Linked DNA regions of Stegostoma tigrinum. The protein of the gene in region 1 interacts with the protein of each later gene in a pairwise test. Links are inferred from orthologs where the notes say so. Each region holds a gene or a part of one and is shown in the gene's direction. Other genes may lie near its edges. The genes, in order: vps33b and vipas39.

Evidence for each region.
Region 2: the proteins of vps33b (region 1) and vipas39 interact in binary tests that used the Homo sapiens proteins (3 or more experiments, as listed by UniProt). The link is inferred for Stegostoma tigrinum from reciprocal best matches to the Homo sapiens genes VPS33B and VIPAS39.

The regions. Positions count from the first base shown.
Region 1 is NC_081389.1:22,273,589-22,281,061, reverse strand, and holds the start of vps33b (vacuolar protein sorting-associated protein 33B), read left to right. Parts: upstream 1-4,171; 5' UTR 4,172-4,183; coding exon 4,184-4,303; intron 4,304-7,296; coding exon 7,297-7,377; intron 7,378-7,473. Other genes in the region: hddc3 (guanosine-3',5'-bis(diphosphate) 3'-pyrophosphohydrolase MESH1), read left to right, coding at 580-820, 1,497-1,630. UniProt on the Homo sapiens protein: May play a role in vesicle-mediated protein trafficking to lysosomal compartments and in membrane docking/fusion reactions of late endosomes/lysosomes.
Region 2 is NC_081363.1:14,199,399-14,207,683, reverse strand, and holds the start of vipas39 (spermatogenesis-defective protein 39 homolog), read left to right. Parts: upstream 1-4,856; 5' UTR 4,857-4,899; intron 4,900-4,912; exon of another isoform or gene 4,913-5,004; intron 5,005-5,051; exon of another isoform or gene 5,052-5,346; intron 5,347-7,029; exon of another isoform or gene 7,030-7,046; coding exon 7,047-7,136; intron 7,137-8,285.

The DNA.
Region 1 (7,473 bases):
GTTTATGATCTGTGCATATCGCCTTCCACTTTGCACAAAGTAAAATACTCCAAATGCTAGAGATCTGAGATAAGCATAGATAAACTGGAGAACCTCAGCAGGTCTGGCAGCATTGGTGAAGACAGAAATGGTTAACATTTCAGCTCAATGTCATTTCATCTTACTCCTACTCACCATTCCAGCACAGCATTCTAAAAATGTTCCTTTCACAAGGTTCAGTCAGGGCATTTGGAAAGGAATTAAATGGTTCTCTGAAACACAAGGTTGGGCACAATGATGGGCAAGTGGTAGGGGAATGGCATGAAGCGAGCTGTTCATTCGGAGAGCCAGTGCAGACACGATGGGCCAAATGACCCCCCTTTCAATCTGTAACAATTTTGTGATACATCATTATGAAAGACGCTGACCATGCTACACTCCCTCAGTCTCACCTTAGACTATGTATTCCAGTCCTAGGTGAAGTGTGAAAATTCAGAGCTGAGTATGTTAGTACATGGCTCATTGGGGCCAAAACAACAATTGAACTGTGATGTGTGGAACAACTGAGATTTATCTTTCTGTTTCTCACCTTTTGTCAAGGCCGCACTTCTGCACGACACTGTTGAAGATACGGACACTACGTTTACAGAGATTGCAGAGAGGTTTGGAGAGAAGGTGAGGAGTATTGTTGCTGAAGTGACAGACGATAAGTCTCTATCAAAGGAGAAACGGAAGGAGTTACAGATCCAACATGCCCCTCACTGCAGCTACGAAGCTAAACTAGTGAAACTGGCAGATAAACTGTACAACCTGAGGGATCTCAAACGCTGCACTCCAGCAGGTCAGCAATGCAGTCCTTTTTGTTTTTCTCCTACCAGGTTCCCAGCGCATGTATAATTGTTATTGTGTTCCCTGAGTCCTAGCAATTATTCTTTCATCATCTCTACAGGAAAGCACAGCCTGAGTTCCCAGTCCCTCCCTGCATGTTGGGTAAACCCCACTTCAGCATACAAACTAGACTGGCAATGCAGTGCAGAAGTGGAGGAATGCTGCACTGTCAGAGCTGTGAGCCTTAGGAAAGAGCCCTGCCTACCTATTATGGTGGCTCAGATATGGTAATTAGCTAAATCTATGAGGAGCCGTTGCCATTATGCTCTCATTGAGAGAGAAAAATGGTTTTATAGCATCAAGGCATGGGCTTAGGTCTCCATGAACTACCGCAGTTTCCAAGGAATTCAAGCTGTGCAGTTGGCACCATTCTGCACCACACTCTGAGTCATAGAGTTATAGACGTTTACAGCACGGAAACAGGCCATTTAGCCCAACTCATTCATGGTTTCTAACTAACAGAGCTAACCAAACCCCACAGTGGCTAAAGTAAATGTTGAATGATATTATTTGAAGAACCAAGATTAGCCCCAGGGTCTGGGCCGAGGAATAGAATGGGAAAGAACAGAGGGTTCGGGTACCTGTGGAGGGAATGGACTTGACTTTTGCTCTGCTGAATCCCTTTTCAGGATGGACAGAGAAACGCGTTGAACAATATTTCATCTGGGCTTCCCAAGTGGTTGCTGGACTTCGAGGAACGAATCAGATCCTTGAAAAGAGCCTGGATGCACTTTTCAAAGAAAGAAATATTCTTACTGGATAATGAGGTTTTGTTTGAAATTGATTACATTTTAAGATAGAAGATCGTGCAGTACTTTACCATTAGGTCTATCATTGTGGAATGAAGTTTTAAATGACAAGATAATAATCTCTAAATTTAAATATTCAAGAATGTCCTTGATGATCAGATTGAATGAATATATCAATGCTGCTCATTTACCTTGTGCTGTGAATCCCTCCCTGTTTTATTGTCTTTAAAATAAAACATTTTTGTTCTGTGGGTTACTATTCTTCTATCATCACATCTTTATTTTGATGCTAAATGATTGATTTTTGACACATTTTAAAATGTACCTTGTAATTTTCATCCATAAAGATCTTGATAGCAGGTACATTTTATATGGGAGGGTGTTTCTCAATTCTTTTCATCCAACACGTGCAAACCCAACTCCATGTTTGAGTCTTCACCCTGAACTATTAAGGAATCCACACAAAAAGAATTTCAGTTTGCCAGAGGTGACAACACATTAATTCAGTATGGAAACTGTACTTTGTATAAATTCAGAGAACTTAGGCACCCGTTTATAGATCCAAGGAGGTCCTCAACCAACACACAAGTACCTCAGGAGGTTAGAAAGGCCCAGCCAACTGATACAGAGGGCTGGTAAGCCTCCTGAAAACTGCTCCAACCAGACCTTCCCTACATATTATAGCATTGGCTTGCACAGTTCTGTGCAGGTAAGCTGCCATTGATTGGTTCACCAGGTTGAATTAACAACAAGTCTAATTAGTTGCTAATGTTCTGGAATGTCTGCCTGGCTCCCACAGAATCTCCAAATGCTTACGTATCTTCCTTAGCAAGGATATCTTCTCCTTACAGCATGGCAGCATGATGGCTTAGTGGTTAGCACTCCAGCCTCACAGCACCCAGGGACCCAGGTTCGATTCTGCCCTCAGCAACTGTCTATGTGGGTTTCCTCCCACAGTTCAAAGATGCACAGATTAGGTGGGTTAGCTATGGGAAATGCAGGGTTATGTGGATAGGGTAGGGGGTGATCAGGCTCAGTGTGGACTCTGGGCCAAATACTCTGCTTCCACACTGTAGGAATTTTATAATTCTAAGGATAGTGCTTAAATTAAGGACTGTTTGTTCAAGAAGTCCATTATTTTCATTGACTCAGGCACCCGTGGTTCACGGTAGCAGTTTGCAATTTGAGACAGTTTTCCTGTACTTCACCTCCATATGTTACTGTACAGCATCAGGGCCATTTTATGATAAGATCGGACCATTCCTCATTTAGTACATCCACATCGATAGCTGCAAGGATGGTGGAAGTGCAGTGAGGATCTTGCAACTGCTCCTGGGTTTGCAGGCTTAATTAAAATTTATTATAGTTTTGGTACAGGTGTTATATTTCACGATAAAATACATTTGGACAAGTCCGTGAATAGGAAAGATTTGGGGGTATATAAGCCTGGAGCAGACAGGTGGGACCAGCGTAGTTTGGTGATTATGTTTGGCATGGGCTGGTTGGACTAAAGGGTCTGTTTCCATACTGTATGACTCTGTGACTCTAAGAGTGGGAGTGGGCAACCTGAGGCAGCTGGCAGGAGCAAGAACAGGAACAGGCTGCAAGGTGGCAAGAGCTGGCAGTGCAGGTCAAGGTCGAGCCCTTGAGTACAAGCCCAGCATGGCCATGTACTTACAGACTGAGGTGTTGAACTGCAAACTGTGTTTCTTTGTTTTTCCACGTTTTAGTAAGAAGGATTGTAATGTTTATCTTTTTTTACTTTGTTTTTCTGCTTTGTAGCTAATTGTTTTTGTACTTAAGATAGTACCATTATGTTGACACTTGTAAACCTCATTGTGCTCATGTGAGTACGTGACAATAAATCTTTTTCAATTCAAGGCTAGCCCATACCACGACTATCATCTCTTTAAGGGATGTAATTGAAAAAGAAGATTCTCCAGCATCGGCAGTTCCTACTATCTCATTTAAAAAGAATGTTTTTTTCTCATGCAGACATGTCAAACCTTTTCCGCAATTAACTGGTGTTTTTTAGAAATGTGTAACACCCAGTAGTGTAAAACTTCATGGAGAGGATAAACTGATGAAGCATAACCTGCTAGGTTGGAATCAGGACACATCGGCGAGTCTCCTTAACTTGGTCGTAATGAAGAGTTACCAACATTGGGGAAATGTTAGGGATTGGGATGGAAAGATTGATGTAGAGTGAATGGAGTTGTGGTTTGTGTTCAGCTGTGAGTTTGATCTCCCCAGTTGGCTTACTGTGTAAACCCAGCAAAGTGGTGACCAGTTATAGAGATAATGGGAACTGCAGATGCTGGAGAATGGTCATGGTAAGGAGTGCTACAAAAAACATAACACTTCGTGTATTGCTCACTGTTATCAGAAAGTATCTGAGTGCAGGCTCCAGCTGAGCTGAGGTTTGGGCTCCAGTTTAAGCAGAAGCAGAACAATTGCCCCCCAGTTCCCCGGCTCTGGCTGTAAACAGTGACTCCATGTGAGGCCTACTGTTCCCGGGGAAGACTGCGCGCCGGTTGCTAGGAGACGCGGCGCCGGAAGCGCCAAACATGACCCCGGAAGCGGCTCCTTGGGATAAGATGGCGGGCCGCTGGGATGCTCCAGAGCTGCCGGATTTCGACGTCTTGAAAAGAATCGCCAGGGATCAACTCATTTACTTACTGGAGCAGGTGGGAGAAAGGCTGACATCTTCCGGGGAGGGGAGGGCGTGACATGCCGGGGTGGGTGATAAGTGACACGGCTAGAGGGGAAAGGAGGGTGTGACCCCCCCGGCCGTTTGGGAGGGAGACAGGGAGACGGTGACGCCGGTAGTGTAGTGTAGTGAGAGGCGGTTTATAGCCCATACGGTAATGTTTAGCGTGTGGGGGTGGGGGGAAGAAGCGATGGAGTGACCCCTGGTGGGATGAGTTGACCGATGGATAAGAAAAACGGACGGGTTGACCCTTGGGGGAGGGGTTATTGAGTGAATGTGATCTATATGGACTTCAGTAAGGCGTTTGATAAGGTTCCTCATGGTAAGCTGGCTAGCAAGGTTAGATCGCATGGACAACAGAGAGAACTGTCCACCGACTCCCACAGCTACCTAGAATACACCTCCTCCCACCCACCCTCCTGCAAAAATTCCATCCCCTATTCCCAATTCCTCCGCCTCCGCCTCATCTGCTCCCACGACAAGACATTCCACTCCCGCACATCCCAGATGTCCAAGTTCTTTAAGGACCGCAACTTTCCCCCCACAGTGATCGAGAACGCCCTTGACCGCGTCTCCCGTATTTCCCGCAACAAATCCCTCACACCCCGCCCCCGCCACAACCGCCCCAAGAGGATCCCCCTCGTTCTCACACACCACCCCACCAACCTCCGGATACAACGCATCATCCTCCGACACTTCCGCCATCTACAATCCGACCCCACCACCCAAGACATTTTTCCATCCCCACCCCTGTCTGCTTTCCGGAGAGACCACTCTCTCCGTGACTCCCTTGTTCGCTCCACACTGCCCTCCAACCCCACCACACCCGGCACCTTCCCCTGCAACCGCAGGAAATGCTACACTTGCTCCCTCCCTCCCTCACCCCTATCCCAGGCCCCAAGATGACATTCCACATTAAGCAGAGGTTCACCTGCACATCTGCCAATGTGGTATACTGCATCCACTGTACCCGGTGTGGCTTCCTCTACATTGGGGAAACCAAGCGGAGGCTTGGGGACCGCTTTGCAGAACACCTCCACTCAGTTCGCAACAAACAACTGCACCTCCCAGTCGCAAACCATTTCCACTCCCCCTCCCATTCTTTAGATGACATGTCCATCATGGGCCTCCTGCAGTGCCACAATGATGCCACCCGAAGGTTGCAGGAACAGCAACTCATATTCTGTCTGGGAACCCTGCAGCCTAATGGTATCAATGTGGACTTCACCAGTTTCAAAATCTCCCCTTCTCCCACCGCATCCCTAAACCAGCCCAGTTCGTTCCCCTCCCCCCACTGCACCTCACAACCAGCCCAGCTCTTCCCCTCCACCCACTGCATCCCAAAACCAGTCCAACCTGTCTCCGCCTCCCTAACCTGTTCTTCCTCTCACCCATCCCTTTCTCCCACCCCAAGCCGCACCCTCATCTACCTACTAACCTCATCCCACCTCCTTGACCTGTCTGTCTTCCCTGGACTGACCTATCCCCTCCCTACCTCTCCACCTATCTTCTTTTCTCTCCATCTTCGGTCCGCCTCCCCCTCTCTCCCTATTTATTCCAGAACCCTCACCCCATCCCCCTCTCTGATGAAGGGTCTAGGCCCGAAACGTCAGCTTTTGTGCTCCTGAGATGCTGCTTGGCCTGCTGTGTTCATCCAGCCTCACATTTTATTATCTTAGAGAGAACTAGCTGTTTGGATACAGAACTGGTTCAACAGTAAAAGACAGGGGGTCGTGGTGGACGGTTGCTTTTCAGACTGGAGGCCTGTGCCCAGGGATGTGCCACAAGGATTGGTGCTGGGTCCACTGCTTATCATCACTTATATAAATGATTTGGCTGTGAACATAGAAGGTATGTTTGTAACTTTGCAGATTATGCTAAAATTGATAGGGAAGAAAGTTACCTCCGAGTACAATGGGATCTTAATCAGATGGATCAATGAGTCAAGGAGTGGCAGATGGAGTTTAATTTAGATAAATCCTGAGGTGTTGCATTTTGGAAAGGCAAATCAGGTCAGGACTTATACACTTAATGGTAACGTCCTGGGGAGTGTTGCTGAATAAAGAGACGTAGGAGTGGAGGTTCATAGTTTCTTGAAAGTGGAGTTGTAAGTAGATAGTGAAGAAGGTATTTGGTATGCTTGCCTTTGTTGGTCAGTACGTTGAGTATAGGAGTTGGGAGGTCATGTTGCGGCTGCACAGGAGATTGGTTCAGCCACTTTTGGCAAATTGTGTGCAATTCTGGTCTCCCTCATATGGGAAGGACGTTGTGAAACTTGAAAGGACTTAGAAAAGATTTACAAGGATGTTGCCTGGTTTGGAGAGTTCGAGCTATAGGGAGAGGCTGAATAGGCTGGGGCTATTTTCCCTACAGCGTTAGAGACTGAGGGGTGACCTTACAGATGTTGATAAAACCATGAGGGGCTTGGCCAGGGTAAATAGGCAAGGTCTTTCCTGCAGGGTTGGGGAGTCCAAAACTAGAGGGCATAAGTTTAAGGTGAGAGGGGAAACATATAAACGGGACCTAAGGGACAACTTTTTCATGCAGAGGGTGGTGTGTATACAGAATGAGCTGTGAGAAGTGGTGGAATCTGGTACAATTATAACTTTTTAAAAGCATCCGGATGGTATATGAATAGGAAGGGTTTGGAGGGATTATGGGCCAAATGCTGATAAATGGGACTAAATTTAAATAGGATTTCTGGTCGGCTGGGACGAGCTGGCCCAAAGGGTCTGTTTCAATGCTGTGTATCTCTATGACTGTATGAATGATAAGAGGGACAGGCGAAAGTGATGGGCCGAGTGTTCATTTCCATATTGACTCTTGGAAGGACCAATGGAGTTGACTCTGTTATGATTGGAGCATTTTTCAATACACAGAAGTGGTATTTTAAGAAAATAAAAACACAGAGCTGTGACAGTTCCTCATTTCCATTCCTTCTCCTGTTTAATGGAATTTCTGTGTTGTTAGTTACCAGGAAAGAAGGATTTGTTTATTGAAGCTGATTTGATGAGCCCTCTGGACCGCATTGCAAATGTCTCCATCCTGAAGGTCAGTTAATACTTGCTTTAAAACTGTCCCCAACCTATCCTGCTAATTCAGCACCAATATATCCTTTGTCCAAGGCCATGGTGGGCATATTCCTCT
Region 2 (8,285 bases), on another chromosome or scaffold:
ATTGCACACAATACTCCTAAAGTGGCCAAACCAATGTCCTATACAGCCACATGACCTCCCAACTCCTAGATTCAATGCACTGACCGATAAAGACAATTATGCCAAACGCGTTCTGCACTGTGCTATCTACCTGCAACTCCACTTTCAAAGAACTATGAACCTGCACTCAAAGGTCTCTTTGCACAGCAACACTCCCTATGACCTTACCATTAAGCGTATAAGTCCTGCCCTGATTTGCCTTTCCAAAATGCACCACCACCTGTTTATCTAAATTACTCCTCTGCCCATTAGCCCATCTGATCAAGGTCCCATGGTATTCTAAGATAACCTTCTTCGCTGACTGCTACACCTCCAATTTTGGTGTTATCTGCAAGCTTACTATACCATACCTTCTACGTTCCCATCCAAATCATTGCTATAAATGACAAAAAGCAGTGAACCCAGTACTGATCCTTGTGGCACACCACTAAACGCAGGCCTCCAGTCTGAAAAGTAACCTTCCACCACCACCCTCTGTCTTTACCTTTGAAACAGTTATATATCCAAATAGCTAGTTCTCCCTGTATTCCGTGTGATCTAACCTTGCTAACCAGTCTACCATGAGGAATCTTATCAAATGCCTTATTGAAGTCAATATGGGTCACAACCACTGCTCTGCCCTTGTCAATCCTCTTCATTACTTCTTCAAAAAACTGAATAAAGTTAGTGAAACATAATTTTCGATGCATAAAACCCATGTAGACTACCCCCAATCCGTCCTTGCCTTTCAAACACATGTAAAACCTCAGGAATCTGTCCAACAACTTGCCTACCAGTAATGTCAGGCTCACTGGTCTATAGTGCCCTGGCTTCTCCTTATCATCTCTGGCACAATGTGAGCTAAACTTCAGTATTCTAGCACCTCACCTGTGGCTATCGATGATACAAATATCTCAGCATATGACATCTACCCAGAGCAATGTGGTTGACTCTGAAATGACATAGCAAGTCATTCAGTTCAAGGGCAATTGGGGAGAGACAACACATGCTGGCAATGCTACAGATGCCCACACCCCATGAAACAATAAAATATAAAACAATTTTTTTTTCTTTAACGGGATGCAGGCATCACTGACCAGGCAGCATTTATTGCCCATCCTTAATTGTCCAGAGGACAGTTAAGAGCCAACCGTACTGCTGTGTGGATCTGGAGTCGCGTGTAGGCCAGACCAGGTTAGGATGGCAGTTTCTTTCCCTAAAGGACATTAGTGAACCAGATGGATTTTTCCGACAATCAGCAATGGCTTCATGCTCATCATTAGACTGTTAATTCCAGATATTTTATGGGGTTCAAATTCCATCATCTGCCATGGCAGGATTCGAACCAAGTCCCCAGATCATTATCTGGGTCTCTGGATAATACCATGACATCATCGCCTTCCCAAATATTGCTCCTAACTCATACGTATGTTTACTCAAGAACGGTAAAGTCAGATGTTGCTACTAAGTAAGAAATAGGTGCTCTTAGCAATAGCATGAATACAGGTTTGGAGGTTCATACAAAAATCAAATGTGACAAAAAGGATGTCAGCCAACTAGTTTAATCTCAGTTACCAAGGAAAGGATTGGAGCTGGTAATGAGGAATCTATGATTGGACTAGGGTCAGAAAACAATTGCTTCTGTATTCCCCAGAAAGAAATTTCTGTCCATTCAGCATGGCAGTTTAGCAGTCTGATAATTGAGTGACAGTGGCAGTGTCAAAAGTGATGGTACTGAGGTGGAGCTTGGTATCAACTGTAAATATGAAAACTAATGCTGTGTGTTTGGATGATGTCACTGAGGGGCAATGTGTAGATGAGAAATAGCAGGTGGAGGGAAGGATGTAGTTGAGTAAATGAGTAGGTGCAGAAATGTTGTGGTGAACCGTTCTTTGTTTTTAACCTTCAGGACATGTTGCCCAGTTCTTGAGCCTTGAAGTTCGACCAACGAGGGAAAATTCTTGCTGTCTACTATCTTTATACCTCAATCTTGAATGCTATCAAATCTCACTTCAATCTTCTCTTTCCACAGGGAGGTAAATCTATCCACACACATGTATCCACTCCAGAACCTTCACAATCTTTCTAAAGTTTGGAACCCAGTGACATATTTTCAGATACCTGAGTACCAGCATGATACCTGTTGTGGTCATGTCCAGTGTAACTGTCTGAGACCTCATGGGTTGATTAATTGCCATCATTACTTCTTATTGATGTTACCCCATATTACTGATATCAAGTGACGGAAGGATGCTTCTGCAATGTCTTTGGCAGAAAAGAGGCTTGGTCTGGATGAACAGAGTAGGTTTTTGACATACTTCTTAATAGCAAGTTACAAAGTATCTGAATTACATGACAGTCTCTTAGACCAGACATAAAAATGTATATGTTATGCTAGCTGCATAGATTTAGCACTAGGACAGTAATAACCAAGCTGTGTGGTAATTTTGAAACTGGTTACCTCATCCCAGGAAGTGTCCTGATGGGTGGAGTTTATTTATGGTAAAAACTGAAAGTGAAGAAACTTGGCAGAATCAGCAGCATCTGTGGAGATAAAAACAGAGTCCATTATAAATTTTCTTTAGAGCTTTAGGGGCTGCAAATGTGATGGGTTCTGTGCTTTAGAAAAAGGGAGGAAAGTAGCAAGTAAAACGTAAATGCACCCCAGAGTAAAAGTCAAAGAGCATGCCAATAGTAATGGAGAAAAGATATAGATGGGAGGTAGGTATTAATGGTAGTTGTTAATAGTAGAAAAAAGGTCAGCTGTACTGAAAACAAACCCTTACAGGCAAGATGCTGTGGTAATCAAAACAAAGGACGAAGTTCATGGTCTGATGTTGTCCAGCTCAATGTTGAATCCTGGAGACCGTAAAGTGCCTAAGTGGAAAGACAGCTGGTGTTTATCCAGCTTGTAATCGGCTTCACTGGAACACTGCAGTATGCATAGGCCAAAAATGTTGGTGTGAGAGCAAGATTGCATATTGAAATGGAACCAGAGATCAAGGTCATTCTTGAGTCAAAAGCAAGGGTGTTCTGCAAAATGGTCACATGGTCTGCATTTGGCATTGGCAGTGCAGAGGAGACTGCATTGTGAGCAGCAAGTACGATAGACTAGATTGAATAAAGTGCAAGAAAATTGTTGCTTCAAATGGAATAACTGTTTGGGGCTTTGGACAGTGAAAGAGATGGGGCAAAGAGTTAAATGTTATACCTTCTGTTATTTCATGAATAGGCACCATGGAGCAGTGAAGAGCTGTTAGGAGTGAAGCAGGAATGACCCAGAGTTTCCTGTACAGGCGCACATGGCAGCAATGGAGAATGGTACTTCCAAATGCAGAGACTGGTGGAATGGGAAAATGAGGACAAGGCAGGCCTTTTGCTGCTCTGGGAGGAAGAAGTAGGAGGAAATGGATTGAACACAGCTAAGAGTCAACCGTAGTGGTTATGGAAGGTGGCATCATTGGAACAAATGAGACTGAGTTAGAGAAACGAGGCAAATGGACTAGAAACCAGGTGTGAGGAAGCGTAGTCAAGATGGCTGTGGGAGACAGTGAATAGATAGCCTAACTCACGATATAGAAACAGACAAGTCAAGGAGGGGAGACAAGTATCTGAACAGGACCAGGTGAAGATGAGAGAAATATGGAAATTGGAAGCAAAATTAAATGTTTCCAACTCATAGTATCAATGCAGTAATCAATGAAAGCAATCTGGTTGGAGGCTCCAAGCAGGACTGGAAATTTTTAAATATCAAGGAGGCTGGCATAACTGGGACAATTAACTGTTAGCTGACGATGCCAGGCCTGCTGAGTGAATTATAGAATCCCTACATTGCAGAAAGAGGCCAGTCAGCCCAACTAACCCTCCAAAGTCCATCCCACTCAAACCTTATCAGCATAACTCCCGCTTTTACCATGACTAATCCATGTAGCCTGCACATCCATGGACTCTACAGGGCAAGTTAGCATGGTCAATCCACCTAACCTGTACATCTTTGGACTGTGGGAGGATGCTGGAGAAGCTGGCAGAAACCCATGCAGACCTGGGGAGAAGATGCAAACTCCATACAGACAGTCAACTGAGGCTAGAATCAAACCTGGGTGCCAGGCACTGAGAGGCAACAGCGCTAACCCATGAGCCACTTGCTGTCCACCAAGGAATTTCTGGTTTTGTTTGTTTCAGATCTCCAGCATTTGCAATTGTTTTTATCAACTGTTAGAACCCATATGCGTGCACATAGTCATTAAAGAAAAGAATGTGAGATGAGTTAAAGGAAAAATTGTTCAAAGTGAGAATGAGTTTGTGATGTCAGTTAAACCGGTTAACAGGTATCAGATGCCTAATACAAAAGAATTGGAGTCAATACTCCATTTGAGGCCATGTTTTATAAAGCCTCATTATAAATTTTCGTCTTCTGTTTTCTCCCTCTATTAAAGCCCAGGTTCGTGTGAGCTTTTGTAATCACATTCTCCACTCCATTTTAACAGCGTAAATACTCCTAATTCTCCCTATTCCTCTACTTTTCCAAATAAATTTTCGGCATTAAATGGAAGTGTCTGCCTATTTTAAATGATATGTTTTTGCACAGTGAGGGTTGGGCCAGGGAAGGAGAAATGAAAAACAGAAGCTTTTGGTTTAAAAGAAAAGGTACAGACGCGAAATAAATAAGAAAACTATAGCTTGCTTGGAAATGTCTGTCTAACCAGGAGCTCAGGCACCCTTTAAGTAAAAGTCACCGATCCGACACGGGATCAATTCATCGCTGCACCTATTGTACAACAGCATAATACATCCCTGAAGTGAAACTCTGGCGACGATACTCTCATGGAAAAACCACAATAGAGAGAGAGAGAGAGAAAGAACAAAATCCAAGTTTTGCTGGTGAGGCCTAAACCTGATTTTTCATTTTCTTCTCCTCTTCTCGGATAGTGGTGGCAAACTCCTAACTGCACCGAAATCCCGAACCCTCGCAAGGGCTGACGGGGGTTGTAGTCTGCGGGTCCGATCGGAAACTACAGTTCCGGGCTTCGGTGCGTGCGCACAGCAGTCGAAGACCTACCAGTTTCTGAGGGGTTGATGCCGGGAAGTGAGTGAGTTCAGGGGTGAGTGAAGAGGGGAGGACGTTAATTTACTTTGTGTAAACACTGGTCCAGTAGACAGATTATCAAGGTGAACGTGGCGGTATGAGACAGAAAATGGGCTCTGTATGAGCTGAGATGACGGGAACTGCAGATAACCCAGACCTGAGTCAAGTATGTCAGCCTGAGTGACCAGCTATCAGCCTGTGTCCTGAAATTGCCCTTGTCCGTCCGGAACACGGAAAGGTAGGTAAGCCCCTCCAGAAGGTCATCTTCCAACATTAAACTGGCATTGTTTTAAGAGACCAGGTGTCCCATGCTGACGTTTTATATTTTGCTTAAAGTCAGGTCCCAATGTACTTCCTCCCCCTCTTTAAAAAGTACCAGTTACTATCCAACCGATTTTCAGCTTTCTTCCTCCATGTATGTAGCCGGAACCCCATTCCCCCCCTCCCCTCCCCGACATCGGATTGCAGTCTTGCAGCCTACCTGTCGATATCCTCTCCCAGTTTACTGTCAAGGTAGATTGAGTCAGTTTGTGCCCTTTTCAGGAGGGTGGAAGTTTCATTCCACATGCGTACACTCTGGTCTGCCAGAGGTTGTGACTGGCAGGAAATGTCATGGTTGATTACATTGCTCTTTGTTATGCCTCCACTGCTGCCTTGCCTGCAATGAGCTAACTGGGATAGTTTGTGCATTCCTCTTAAGTCACCAATGAACCCTTGCAGCAAGAACTTTTCAAAGAACGCAGAAACCTCAGTATCAGTTAAGCTTGGGGACCATTCCTGTATTTTATAAACATTATGATTAATTTCCATCCTTGTTTTCAAATTCATGCATGGTCTTGCCTGCCCTATCTCTAATCTCCATTTGTGGTGTTACGGGGCCTCAGTGCTGGATGTGAGTTTGCTCGCTGAGCTGGAGCTCACTGATGTTACCTATAATGGTGACGAAACGTCTGAGCTCACTGATGATGTTACCTAGAATGGTGACAAAACGTCTGAAAACTAACCTTCCAGCTCAGCGAGCAAACTCACATCCAGAACCTCAACCTGAGCTACAAATCTTCTCAAAACTCGCTGGGGCCTCAGTGGTTAGCACCATTGCCAGGGACCAAGGTTTGATTCCACCCCAGGATAACTGTTGGTTTTTTCCCACAGTCCAGAGTTGTGCAGGCTATGTAGATTAGCCGTGGGAAACGCAGGGTCACAGGAATAGGGTAATTTGATTAGATTAGATTACTTACAGTGTGGAAACAGGCCCTTCCGCCCAGCAAGTCCACACTGCCCCTTGAAGCATCCTACCCAGACCTGTCCCCCTGTAACCCACACACCCCTGAACACTACTGGCAATTTAGCATGGCCAATCCACCTAGCCTGCACATCTTTGGACTGTGGGAGGAAACCGGAGCACCCAGAGGAAACCCACACAGACAGTCACCCAGGGCTGGATTCGAGCCCGGGTCCCTGGCGCTGTGAGGCTGCAGTGCTAACCACTGAGCCACCGTGCCACCCAAATGCTTTATGGAGAGTCAGTGTAGAATTGATGGGCTGAATGGCTTGCTTCCACACTGTAGGATTCTATGATTTCCACAGCCCTCCAATTATCTGCACTAAATTAATTTCAGTTCCTTTTGCATTCCCAGTTATAATGTATCCACCGTTTGTGGTTGGACCTGTAGTTGCCTACACCCCAGGCTCCAAAACACTCTTCTGAAAGATGCCACCTGTAGGTTGCAGGAACAGCAACCTTGCTTTCTTTCTTTACAAAAATTCTTAATAGCTAACTCTTTGACAAAGCCTTTGGTCAGCTGATCTATTATCACATTATGTGGCAGGTGTAATACTTGGTTTTATGCAGCTTCTATGAAGTACATTTCGTGGTTTCATTACAGGCACAATGTAAATATAAGTTATTAATTTAATTTTTTCAGTTTTTCTATATTTGCAGATGAGCAGAACTAAAAATGATGAAGAAGATTATTGGAACAGTACAAAATGCAAAGCTTTTGTATTTGATGATGATGATGAATTTACAGAGGTGAGTAAATTGCCTGCATTTAAATTCCTAGGTCCCAAGAACCTTGTCTGCCTTCTGGAGAGACCACTCTCTCCGTGACTCCCTTGTCTGCTCCACACTCCCCTCCAACCCCACCACACCCGGCACCATACCCTGCAACTGCAGGAAGTGCTACACTTGCCCCCACACTACCTCCCTCACCCCCATCCCAGGCCCCAAGATGACCTTCCGTATCAAGCAGATGTTCATCTGCACATCTGCCAATGTGGTATACTGCATCCGTTGTACACGTTGTGGCATCCTCTACATTGGGGAAACGAAGCGGAGACTTGGGGACCGCTTTGCAGAACATCTACACTTGGTTCACAGTAAACATCTGCACCTCCCCGATGCGAACCATTTCAACTCTCCCTCGCATTCGTGAGATGACATGTCCATCCTGGGCCTCCTGCAGTGCCATAATGCCAACCTGTAGGTTGCAGGAACAGCAACTCATATTCCGCTTGGGAACCCTGCAGCCCAATGGTATCAATGTGGATTTCACCAGCTTCAAAATCCACCCCCCCCCCCCCCCCCCCCCAGCATCCCAAACCAGCCCAGCTCGTCCCAGCTTATCTAACCTGTTCTTCCTCTCACCTATCCCCTCCTCCCACCTCAAGCTGCAACTCCATTTCCTACTTACTAACCTCATCCCGCTCCCTTGACCTATCCATCCTCCCAGGACTGACCTATCCCCTCCCTACCTCACCTCTCCTCTCCACCTATCTTCTCCTCTATCCATCTTCAGTCCGCCTCCTCCTCTCTCCCTATTTATTTCAGAATCCTCTCCCCATCCTCCTTTTCTGATGAAGGGTCTAGGCCCGAACGGTCAGCTTTTGTGCTCCTGAGATGCTGCTTGGCCTGCTGTGTTCATCCAGCTCCACACTTTGTTGCACTTTCTGCACTGTCTGTTTCCTGCCAGTGAGCCAATTCTCTATCCATGCCAATATACTACACCGTGATCTCTATTAGTCCAGGCACATATATATGAAGGTAAAATTGTCATAGACCAACCAGATAATAGGGCTGCCATCATTAGGGAGGGAGAGACAACTGATGGTGGTTTAACCTGAGGATCGCCATGCCTCAGGCAATAGGAAAGGTTGAGGACAGCCCTTCAAGATTACCTCA